Lepisosteus oculatus: one gene and its partners. The protein of the gene in region 3 binds, or shares a complex with, the protein of the main gene of each other region. Links are inferred from orthologs where the notes say so. Each region holds a gene or a part of one and is shown on either strand. Other genes may lie near its edges.

What was found.
Region 1: chchd6a (region 3) and micos13 share a complex: the UniProt entries of both Homo sapiens proteins name them as parts of the mitochondrial contact site and cristae organizing system (MICOS) complex. The link is inferred for Lepisosteus oculatus from reciprocal best matches to the Homo sapiens genes CHCHD6 and MICOS13.
Region 2: chchd6a (region 3) and apool share a complex: the UniProt entries of both Homo sapiens proteins name them as parts of the mitochondrial contact site and cristae organizing system (MICOS) complex. The link is inferred for Lepisosteus oculatus from reciprocal best matches to the Homo sapiens genes CHCHD6 and APOOL.

What each region holds. Positions count from the first base shown.
Region 1 is NC_090724.1:7,891,044-7,894,794, forward strand, and holds the start of micos13 (MICOS complex subunit MIC13), read right to left. Parts: upstream 2,500-3,751; 5' UTR 2,324-2,499; coding exon 2,295-2,323; intron 1,148-2,294; coding exon 991-1,147; intron 471-990; coding exon 419-470; intron 1-418. UniProt on the Homo sapiens protein: Component of the MICOS complex, a large protein complex of the mitochondrial inner membrane that plays crucial roles in the maintenance of crista junctions, inner membrane architecture, and formation of contact sites to the outer membrane.
Region 2 is NC_090703.1:46,869,441-46,873,191, forward strand, and holds the start of apool (MICOS complex subunit MIC27), read right to left. Parts: upstream 2,257-3,751; 5' UTR 2,189-2,256; coding exon 2,177-2,188; intron 826-2,176; coding exon 721-825; intron 1-720. UniProt on the Homo sapiens protein: Component of the MICOS complex, a large protein complex of the mitochondrial inner membrane that plays crucial roles in the maintenance of crista junctions, inner membrane architecture, and formation of contact sites to the outer membrane.
Region 3 is NC_090699.1:61,089,349-61,093,099, reverse strand, and holds the start of chchd6a (MICOS complex subunit mic25a), read left to right. Parts: upstream 1-1,515; 5' UTR 1,516-1,659; coding exon 1,660-1,743; intron 1,744-3,106; coding exon 3,107-3,215; intron 3,216-3,629; coding exon 3,630-3,687; intron 3,688-3,751. UniProt on the Homo sapiens protein: Component of the MICOS complex, a large protein complex of the mitochondrial inner membrane that plays crucial roles in the maintenance of crista junctions, inner membrane architecture, and formation of contact sites to the outer membrane.

The DNA of each region.
Region 1 (3,751 bases), on a different chromosome or scaffold from region 3:
CTCGTTAACTCATGTTGGGAAGATGCCTGGGGGTGAAATGTCTGCTGCACAACCTGTAGTTATTCGCTCACAAATCACATCAGTCATTACAGGGACTAGTGAGCAGGAAGGGCCTCCCCGTGTCAGAATTCTCGTGAACTCTCGCTCTCGCCCGTGCCGAGACCTGGGGTTTGCAACACTATGGCTACTTATAGCACTTTCACAAAGTTCACACTTTTTGTGCCCAATTCAAAATGTGTACATTTTTGTTTTGCTATACTGTCACTGAATTTATTTGGTTACCGAGATTCAATAACCGGTCTGGGAAACTGGGACTGCTCCCCCTTTCCAGATCAAGGATGAACCTGCTAGTACACACAAAACTAGAAAAACTGAGAGTTTGTTTGCTGTAGCATTCCTGCACTACGTAAGCTCTTACCGGTATTCCACGTTTCCAAAGCGGAAAACTCTATTTTGGGAGGAGAAGGAAGCTGCAGTAATAAGGGAAGAGGAGAACATGATGGTTAAACATTGCATCGACAACAGCCTCTCAGCACCAACACCAGTAAAGCTAGTTACAGCCTTTAGAAAGGACCTTGTCTCCGAATCACAAACTTTATTTAGTCAGTTCTTGATTCGGGGTCTTGTGATCCCAGGGTTTTTGGTGGAAGTTTACTTCCTGCACCTCTGTTAATGTTTAATACAGTCCCCGAGTTGATCTCTTGTGCTGGATGTGGGACTTTTCCACCAAAAAGTGGGCCTTCAAAACCGGAGTAATTATACTTCCTATCCAGATAATTATGTTGATTACGTAGGAATGAAAGATGTTTTTCGAAACACAAGGGCTGTGCCCTACACCTGAGGGTTCGGAGATGGGACTTATCTCTCTAAAAGAAATCATGAAAGCCAAAATACAGCACTGCACGACACTGGCACAGTAAAACCGCACCAGTGCTTGGCTGCTTCACAAGCACCCAGTATGTCGGCACAAACACAAGATCTTGGCCTCACCTCCCATCCGAAGTACTTCATCCACTCGTCCACAGCAGGGGGGATGGCAGCTTTGGCCTTGGTCAGCACCTCTGAGCCCTGGACACTGTCCCCCAGCAACCTCTGGTCATAGGCCACGTACACTGCCCCGCCGGCCACACCCACCTTGGTGACCAGCCTGCATGCCACAGACAAACCACACAACATCTAAATGAAAGCCTTTGTTTTTAATAAATGGATTGAATGAGAACGTACAACGGGTTGCTTTTATCAATCCATTTCCTAACTGATTTAGCCAGTACAGGGTTTTCAAGAGAACCAGAGTCTATCCCAGCAAGCACTGGGCGCAAGGCAGGGTACACCCTGGACAGGATGCCAGTCCATCACAGGACAAACACACACGCACTCACTCACTCCAAGACCAATTTTTCCAGGAGACAGTTAACCTACCAGTGGGAGTGGACTGTGGGAGGAAACCCATGCAAACCCAGGGAGACCATGCAAACTCCACACAGACAGAACCCTAGGAATTGAACCCTGGACCCCAGCTCTGAGAGGCAGCCCTGCTAACCACTGTGTCACCCTGTTGCTTTTATCCAAAAAACTAACAAGACAACCATTGAATCTTAGGGTAAGTGCATTTAAGATTGACAACAGAAAGTGCCACATTACACAAAGAGCTGTGGGAGTCTGGAACAAGCATCCAGGTCTGTTTCTCATGGTGATATTGAAATCCTTTTAAAAACTGGCTGGGTGAGATTTTCCTAATATGCTTTATCCCAGCACATAATTTCAATATGATGCTGAACTTGATTGCTAAACAATCCTAATTTGTAATGGTAAATCTAGGTTCAACCAAGCTAGGGAGACTTCTAGTTCTCCAGCGTCCTCACCACTCAGAGGGGGGGTTAATTGGAAGTGTAATTTGGGCGTGTTCACAGATGTGTGCAGTTTAGGAGTTAGGAACGCAGCTCCATGGCGTAGTTATTTAAATTGGTATTTCTTTATATATCACTACTTCACAGCAATAGTTTAACAAATCTGCTATAACTGAGCATTAAACCTACACCGCTAACGCACAGTTTGTTATCACTAAGGACTGTATACAGATACGATTAAAAGAAAACGCACTTTCAAGTCATGTTCAGAACAGCCGAGCTTGAATTTCACTGCTAGTTTATTTCACATCTACGTAGTACTAGATTTCACCGCCTACACATGGATCGTGACATTATTTTCACAGCAACTAGCAGAAAAAATTGACATACATTGAAACTTGAACTTTGTATAGTGCTGTCACAAGGAGGCCGGAGGAATCAACTTACTTTATTAATGGGAAAATCCTGGGAGCCATGAGCCAAAAACGAAGTAGAAACAAACGTAACAATGACCGAGCAGAAACGGATTGTTAAATAAACGAATATATTTGCAGCCCAGGTGTTTTAAAAACCGTAGTCTGCATTCGCATTTACAAGGACATCGAGAAGGCAGTACCAATGTGTGTTTGCCGTATATCTCAATAAAGTTTTTTCAAGATGACCTTCGACTCCCCTTTAGAGGTTACCGTTTTACATCGGACAAAGCAGATTCTTTCAAATTAAGATTATTTAAATTTAGGACTTTCATAATTCTTTCCCTCAATTAATATGCATTCTCAACATTTATTTTTGTAGAGACTTCTTCAAACATGCATAATCGAAGACCGCACTAATCTTTGCAAGTGGGTTCTGGGAAATGTAGTCCTTTACAGATTCTCTCACCGTGAGGCTGTGCGCAACCCTCACTCTGTAGTGAACTACAGTCTCTTGAACTCGTACCATTACATACTCAAAACCTGTCTATGAACTGTTCCTGTCCAAATTCATACTGGGTTACTAAAATGAATAAGGAATTACTCTTAAATTATATAACAAAATAAAAAGCAACAGCGTGTTGTAACTGTGATGATATCAAATTCTTACAAGGTAAACATTCCTGACTCCTTAATTTACCGTTCTAATACAGATTCAATCGGTTTATTGAGTCTTTGAGTCACTATTTTATTTGTAAAATAAATTATGTTTAGATTTTACGGATGCCTAACACGTTGGGTAAGAAAAGCGGATCGATTCATTTAACTTGTTTTCATTTTTCAAGCTAACCTTTATCTCCCAGTAGGTTTCAACGTGATAATGTGCAAAACGCTACTATCGGTACACGATTTGCCAACAGCCTGTCACTGGTTAGACACACAGACGATTCGGAGACGTGAAGCAAAACAAAGAGTTTTAACTGTGTGACTACCAGGAGGGCAGCAAGTCGAATCAGGAGCGCCTCACTTCACTCAGGGAGTAAAAATACCAAGCAGGGAGTTTCCTCCACGCACCTGTTCACTGGCGGCAAGAATGATGTAAATACTTAAGACGTGAGCTTTTTGTTTCTCCTCTTTCCAGTTCTTAACCGATTCCGTATTAAGGGCGATTTGAACGAGACAACTGCTTTGGCTTGAGTACATGAAAGGTGTGGAGTTTTGTTCCACTCGGGGAATGTAACAGGCATTTGGAGGTGGGACTGCAGATCTGTGGGGACGCTGCTCTTTGCTCGACACGCTCACACCTGCACAAGGCAACAACCGAGAGATGCCGGCTATGTTAACTGGTGTGTCTTTGGAAGGTGTGTGTGTGTGGGGGGAGCTCCAGATAAAAACGCCAAAGGGGAACCATGCAAACTCCACACAGACGATGCTTCAGAATGGACCCCAGGACCCTAGACCTGTGAGGAAGTTGTGTTAACTGTCATGCCA
Region 2 (3,751 bases), on a different chromosome or scaffold from region 3:
AACTCGCAGGACGAGCCCGGCGTGGAGGAGGAGGTCAAAAACACGTAACACTGCGATATTCCCAAGACAAGCGGGGCCAATTTCACTCTCAGGCAGCAGCTAGATCACCGGTATTCAGTCTGGACTGGATGATGCGATCTGAACCAGCTGTTCACTTACGTGGTCTGTATTAACACGGCGTCCAGGCCTTTCCTGATGGAGGACATTCCTCATGTAATCTGGGAGACCGCAGGACCGGCACAGAGGCGCAGTCATTAGCGTTGCTGCCGCGCAGCGCTGGGGTCCTGGGTTCAATTCCCAGACTCCCATCTGTGTGGAGTGAGTATATTCTCCCTGTGTTCCCATGGGCTTCCTCCCACAGTCCAAAAACATACTGGTATGTTTATACGCTTTTGGGAAAACTGGCCCTGGCGTGAGTGTCTGCCCTGTGATGGACTGGCAGCCTGCCCAGGGCGTCGCCTGCCTTGCACCTGTTGCTTGCTGGGATAGGCTCCGGCTGCCCACACAAACTCTTACTGGACAAAGTGGCTCTAGGGGCTGATGTCAGCAATACTGAAGAGGACTCCGGGTTTAACACCTGATGGCTAAATACTGGGAAACAGCAGCACTTAAGACCGATTAAGTCCACTTCCGATCCAGAAACTAAAGAGATCGAAGGCGGAATGAAGAGCCGTTCCCAGGAGCAGGGGAGAGCGTGCCCTGAGCACACAATGAGGGTACCTGCTTCGGGGACACGAGCCTCTCCTTCTCCAGCGGGTCCCCCGCCGCGCGCACCCGCAGGGCCGCGAGCCCCAGCGCCCCCGGAACCGCCGCCAGCGCCAGCACCTGCGGAGCAGAGCAGCGCCCCCCGCAGGCAGTAGGTTAACTAGCGCAGCGCTGCAGAAAACTGTGGTGTGTGGAGGCGGGGGAGGGCAATTATATGACAGAGATTTTTATGCACAGCAGTTACGCGGGGCACCTTGATTTTGCAAACGTTCTCGTGTTCAAAGACCTCTGGGATAATGACGAGAACTGGACACAAGAGCACGATCGCTTTGAACGCATCTTGCTGCAACAAGGGATTAAGCAACATTTTTATTAAATGAACAAGTAACAGGTTTATTCCATGCTGAAAAGAGAAGAGAGAAACACAACGTTTCGGCTGTGAAGCCTTCTTCAGGCGTGTGACACGCCGAAACGTTGTTTTCTCTCTTCTCTTTTCAGCATGAAATAAACCTAGTCGCAGACTACGCATACTAACGCAGCTACGCACCTGAACTATTTTTATTAAATACCCACAGAACGCTGTAGCTACGTTATCAACTGAAATTTTCAAGTTTGCTGCCACCTGCCGTTCTCGCAGAAGTGCGTCTCATCCAAATGACAGTATAATTCAACAGATTAGTTGTAGTAATCAAACGCAGTTTAGCTACTTTATTACTGTTCTTACGTGTCCTGTCTGAGATAGTCTTACTGAACACGACACACTCAGCAATAACTGCCGAACATGTGACTCACAATCTGATGGGTGATCAAGCATTAATATCACTTTCTAGCGCAAACATGCTTCATAATACTTTAGTTTTTGATAATCATAATTTTAAAGTCTCCACTATGCAGTTTTAACATAGCAAAAACATGTTTTTTGCAAGGCGAAAGAGGTTCAGATTGATGTGCTGCATTCACGTGGGTCTAAATGTTTTTATAACTGACAAAATAATTGAAATACAACAATACGGATAAAAACTGTCATGCGATTTTAATGTTTATATACCATATAGCTTCCTACATATTTAGAAAAAAATGCATGTAGTACGTCAATCAGATTAGAGTTTAACAAGACTGATGATTACTTGGCACACTTTAGACTAAGTGAAATGCCGGCAATCTCCAGCTGCGTCACAAAAGAATCACACTGTTTCCTTACAATAAAAGAAAAAAAAAGTTTCTCATTTAAGTTTTTAACTATCAATAATTTTTTCTCCAAATCTACTCGGGCGAAATGACAGAACAGTAGCTGACAGTAATGAGTCTCTCGAAAGCGATTTAAATGCTATTAAATAAACCCAAACATATAATAATACTTTAACATAAAATAAGATCTTAACCGTTCTTTCTTATAAAAAGGGGTTGGTGGGCAAATAAGTGAATGAAAGCTCCTGTTGCAAATATATCGGGGGAAAAGCTCCCCTCTCACCTTGGCTGCCATGTCACTCCGCCCACCGCTACAACTCGTCACGAAGGACAAAAAGGTTTTAAACCCTCCTTCGTTCAAAATGCGTTTTGCGAGAGACTGTATTCGCTCGAACTCCTTCGCCGATGAAGAGCTTAGATCAGAAATAAAGCATTCGCCTTGTTATTTTAACTGGCTTAAAAAAAAAACTATTCTCCGCCTCCGCTCGAATAACGACCGTGCACATAGTCCAAAATGACAGCTAATGTAATTTAACCAAGGTTGTTTTGATTGACGATGTAATAGATATTATTAGTGCTGCACAGAATCAGTGTATCGATTTCCAGTTTTAATCGTAAATAACGATTGAAACGGGTATTTTAAAGCAAGGGTTCCCAAACGTTTTCCTGGAAACCCAGTGTGTCTACAGCTTTTTACTCCAGCTGAGCTATTACGAACAGATTGCGCTCATTATTGACTTAATTGGAAAAGGTAAATAACTTCTCTCCTGAGGTGCTGTTGCTTTAAAAAAACCGAGCCAGCTTCGTGAATGAACAGTGAATCACGAACCAGAGGGGACAGATGGACACAGAGGCATCTCTTTGCACAAAGGGTGGTAGGAGAGTGGAACAAGCTGCCCAATCACGTTGATGAAGCTGATACCATGGCTTCTCTCAAGACACAGCTGGATGAGATCTTTAGATCAATTTGCTACTAACTACCAAATGGACTACATAGATCAAATTAAATTAACATCTCACACATTCCAGTATTCCTTTAACCAGGGGTGTCCAGCCTTGAAGAGCCCCAGTATAATAAATATAATAGACATTGCATCACGACTTTTAAATATCCAGTTCTATTAAACTGCGGCCAATTAAACAGGCGATTTGTTAAATTAAGTAGTTTAGAGATTATTTAAGATACAACTCAGGATACCCATCAACCCTCAAGGAGTAAAGTTGCTTTAATTAAATATTTTAGTTTGTTAGTCAATAACTTAGAAGTCTTCTTAATCTTGTTTAAAAAATCAGGTGATTTAGGGCGATTTGCTAGCTCCGTAAAGTTGGCCCCCCTACAGACAGCACAAATGATGAAACCCACCTCATTCGTTAGTGCTACGTTTGTGCCGGTTTGTGCCTTTGACAGTAGCGTTTGTGCTGCTTTCGTTCCCGAGATATAGAGCCTTGTTTTTCCGGTGATCACGTGACCATGCACGGTGACTTTGACCTCCAGTGACCCCGTCTGACGAGTTCAAGCGCTCTGTTACAGTTTAGCTCGTATCCGTAACATTATAAAGTCAATCAATATCCATAAGCATATGAGCCTCCTTAGATGTGAATAATACTAACACATGACGCATACCAACAAGTTAACCATCTATGACATAAACCTGTAGTTGTAATATATGTAAAATCACCGTGATTGTAAGATCTATGGTTTTTTATTTTCTAAGGCACGTTTTCCTTTTTTCCGCTGTTGCCAAACGCATAACTGCGGCATACTATCGCGACAAGACTTCCGCAGCATGGCATGATAGGGACCCAACGTATATCTCAGGTATATCGCGGCAGTGTATATCACGACTGGCGCCTTGCT
Region 3 (3,751 bases):
TTAAAAATTAGGACTGCTGTATGTGGAGGTAGCTGCCAATACACAATAAAGAGCTGGAAACATTGGTATTTAGGGAGTAATAAGGGTTTCTAGTTCCCAATTTTCAAATTCCCTCTCGGATTGGGACGCTCTGTAACCTAGACATACTAAAACGTTGAAATGGAGTGTAATTAAGGCTGTCAAAATCAAGTAAACATGAGATGTGAATTAATGTGCAGACAGATTATTAGTTTACTAGTTTTAAGTTTTGATGGTTCAATTAGTCAGACCAGCATAATTGTCAAAAACGATTTAGTGCCAACTCTGAAACTCTTTGTTTTTGTATATAATTATAATGGTACTATATAGTAGCCAGCAGCCATATCACCCTGCAACTCACAACTGGCAACCCACTGAAGCTAAGCAGGTGTGAGCCTGGTCAGTACCTGGATAGGAGACCTCCTGGGAAAAACTAAGGTTGCTGCTGGAGGAGGTGTTAGTGGGGCCAGCAGGGGGCGCTCACCCTGCAGCTCATGTGGGTCCTAATGCCCCAGTGTAGTGACTGGGACTTATATATATACTGTAAAACAGGCGCCGTCTTTCGGATGAGACGTAAAACCGTGGTCATTAAAAATCCCAGGGTGTTTCTCGAAAAGAGTAGGGGTGTAACCCCGGCGTCCTGGCAACATTTCCCATCAGCCTTTATCAATCATGGCCTCCTGACAATCCCCCTCTATAAATTGGCTTCATTACTCTGCTCTCCTCCCCACTGATTGCTGATGTGTGGTGAGTGTTCTGGCGCACTATGGCTGCCGTCGCATCATCCAGGTGGATGCTGCACATTGGTGGTGGTGGAGGGGAGTCCCCATTACCTGTAAAGCGCTTTGAGTGGAGTGTCCAGAAAAGCGCTATGTAAGTGTAAGCAATTATTATTCATTAATTATATGTAAAACAATTATGTCTATCCTTTATTAAATGTAATTAAAACCACCAGACTTCCAGTGTCATTTAATTCTTGCAATGACACCTTGTTAGTTTATTAAAATGTAGGCCTGTGATGTCCAACAATAATTACAAATGACAAATACTGTTTAGAAACCAGATTGGTTGCATCTCTAATAGCATAATCAGCTGTTGACGGGAGGAAGTATTTCTGAACAAAAACGGTGCATAACTTATCTCTATGTACATAATAATCACTATTAAATCATTTAGAAACGGTTCTAAATATCTCAAAGGCATTCCTTTTTCATTTTTTCCCGAGCCGATTTTGTGTATAGTTATTGTACTTGCTCCCGTTCCCGTTTAAAAGATAACGAATGGAAAGATGTATCCGTTTTTCAAGCCGACGCTACATAAAATGTTCACTGTATGGCTGAGATAATACAGGCTCACAGGGATAATGCACGTTAACAAGCCCCGCCTGAAAGTTGTTGCTTTTACTGAACTACAGTTCCCACTTGAATCCGGTTCCCTTCGGTAGCATTCTGCAATGTGATTGGGCTTCCCATGTACGTCTACCAATTGCATTTCACAATACTGGCATGTTAAAAAAATGACTTTTCATGTGGAGCGAAGGCTGAAAGGTCCATAGATTTTCAAGTGGTTGCAGAGGAATATCAGTGTTTTAATAATCCAAGCAAAATAACCGAAGGTCGTACTGAAGGACAGCATTTTACAATGGGAGGGAGTGAGAGTGTAACTAGAAAGGTGTCTTTTGGTTTGGACGAGGAAGACAGGGTGAGGGTTTTGCACGGAATCAAGGTAAGGAAGGAACAATTGCCAAAAAGCAAACTTATTGGAAAGGTCCTGCACGCTAAGGAGAACGTATTACGTTTATAGCAAATGCAAAAATGGAAACTGAGCTTTATCTGGTTTTTAGTCACCTCTTAAGTCTAGCTCGACAACCTTATACTGGGTACAAACGCCTGGAGATGCAATCCTGTCTTCTAACATCGGATGGAGCAATTTATGTGGGCTAGGGAAGCATCCCATAAGTCATGGCTTTATACAGTTCTCGGCACCAAACCAAAGTTGACCTCTGATAAATGCTTGCAGGTTTGCAAGCTGTCTTGCTTTGTAACAGGCAAATCGGATGCTGACTGCCTCAAATGCTGCCAAATTGCCGAAACTGACAATGCCAATGTTACTGTTAAAGCAAAAACAAACGGTCATCCTGTAGATCAACACGCCAAAACAAAAACAATAGCTGTTTTCTCATACAGGCCCAATTCATTTTTATTTGAAATATAACATTAACTTTCTAAATTACTCACCAAATAAACGTGGTAATTTGTGTTCCAGTTTTGGAGCATGTTTGCCTTTTAATCTCGTATTTCACTGTCTTGAAATGCCTGTAATGCTATGCTTTCATCAAGTGCTCTTCAACTTGTGTAAGCAGTGGTTACTATTCACAATACAGCGATTGCATCGTTTATGATTGCAGGGTGTTGAGGTCCTTGTTTTTTGTGTCATCGAAAAATATGTACCTCTTTAAGCTCAGTGTCTCGAATCTCCAGACGCAGGCATAGGTTTGGAATTAGTGGTGCAGAGTTGCGAATCTCACCTGCTGGTCCTTAAGCACCACTTCCAGCAGCGACCTGATCTGGTGTAGCTGCTTTCTGTTCAAGGAATGTCTGGGCCCAAAGTTGCTTCTCTTCAAAAACGTGTTGCAATAAGGTCCTGAGGTGGCATGATTTTTGAATGTTGTACATTTTTCTGACAGCAGTTAATTTACTTAACACAGCCTTGAGACTTGATTGTTTGTTCAGTTCAGTTTATTGTCATATGCACAAGTGCATGCATATTTGCATGTGTGCTCCATAAGAAAGACATTAAAAGAATCACCAAAAACATAAACACAGAACAGCAGCAACAACAACAAGTTAAATAACATACAAAGCCAGTGGTAGGGGTAGAGTTCTGACAGTTTGTGGGAAGAAACTGTGTGAAAACTGTGGGGGGTTATGTGGAACATTGTTATGTGGAACATTGTCCAGTTAGCCTTTAAAATCGTGAAGTCAGCACTGAAAAGAAGTGCATTACTGTCACTTACACGTGCTGTTTGTCTACATGTATGGGTTCGCTTCCTGGACAAAATGATAACACACTTGTTTTCTCTGGGCAGTTGTCGGAGGATGTCATCAGGAAAATGAAAGAAAAATCAGCCGAATCCAAACCCTCTGCTTCAGACGAGTGGTCGTCCTCTCAGACAGAAAGCAGTAAAGACTCCTCAGGTCTTGTCTTGTTTGTGTGAACTATATTTACAAGTTACTGTTTCATCAATAGGTGTAATAATAGAGATGGTACAAAAAGTTTGAAAAGAAGAATTTCAATAAAAAAAAATAAAATAGCTTTTCAACAATTTTGCTTATTTCTAATTCCATCATACTGATGAGAGTGATTCGGGTGAACTGATACTTTTGCTTAACTGAAGATTAGTGAATGAGGGGCAGATGCTTACCTGTTGATTGAGTTTTCTTTGGAGAAAGATGTTAAGATTACATTAAATGCGAATACATTTAATTAATGTGAAAGCACTTAACAAACAGTGAAACAAAATGTGTTGGTGGTCAAACATTTTAACAACATCACATTAATCTGAAAATGTGAAAGAAAATAATGAAGATGTTTTCTTTTGTTGTTTGTAGGTTCAAAGATGCATTCGGGACACACAGTCACAGTGAAAGAAGAGGAATTATACAGAAGGTGGGTGTTTTCATTGGTTTTAATTGGTTTTAAGCGCTTTGAGAAGCTACCTTTAAAGGTGCTA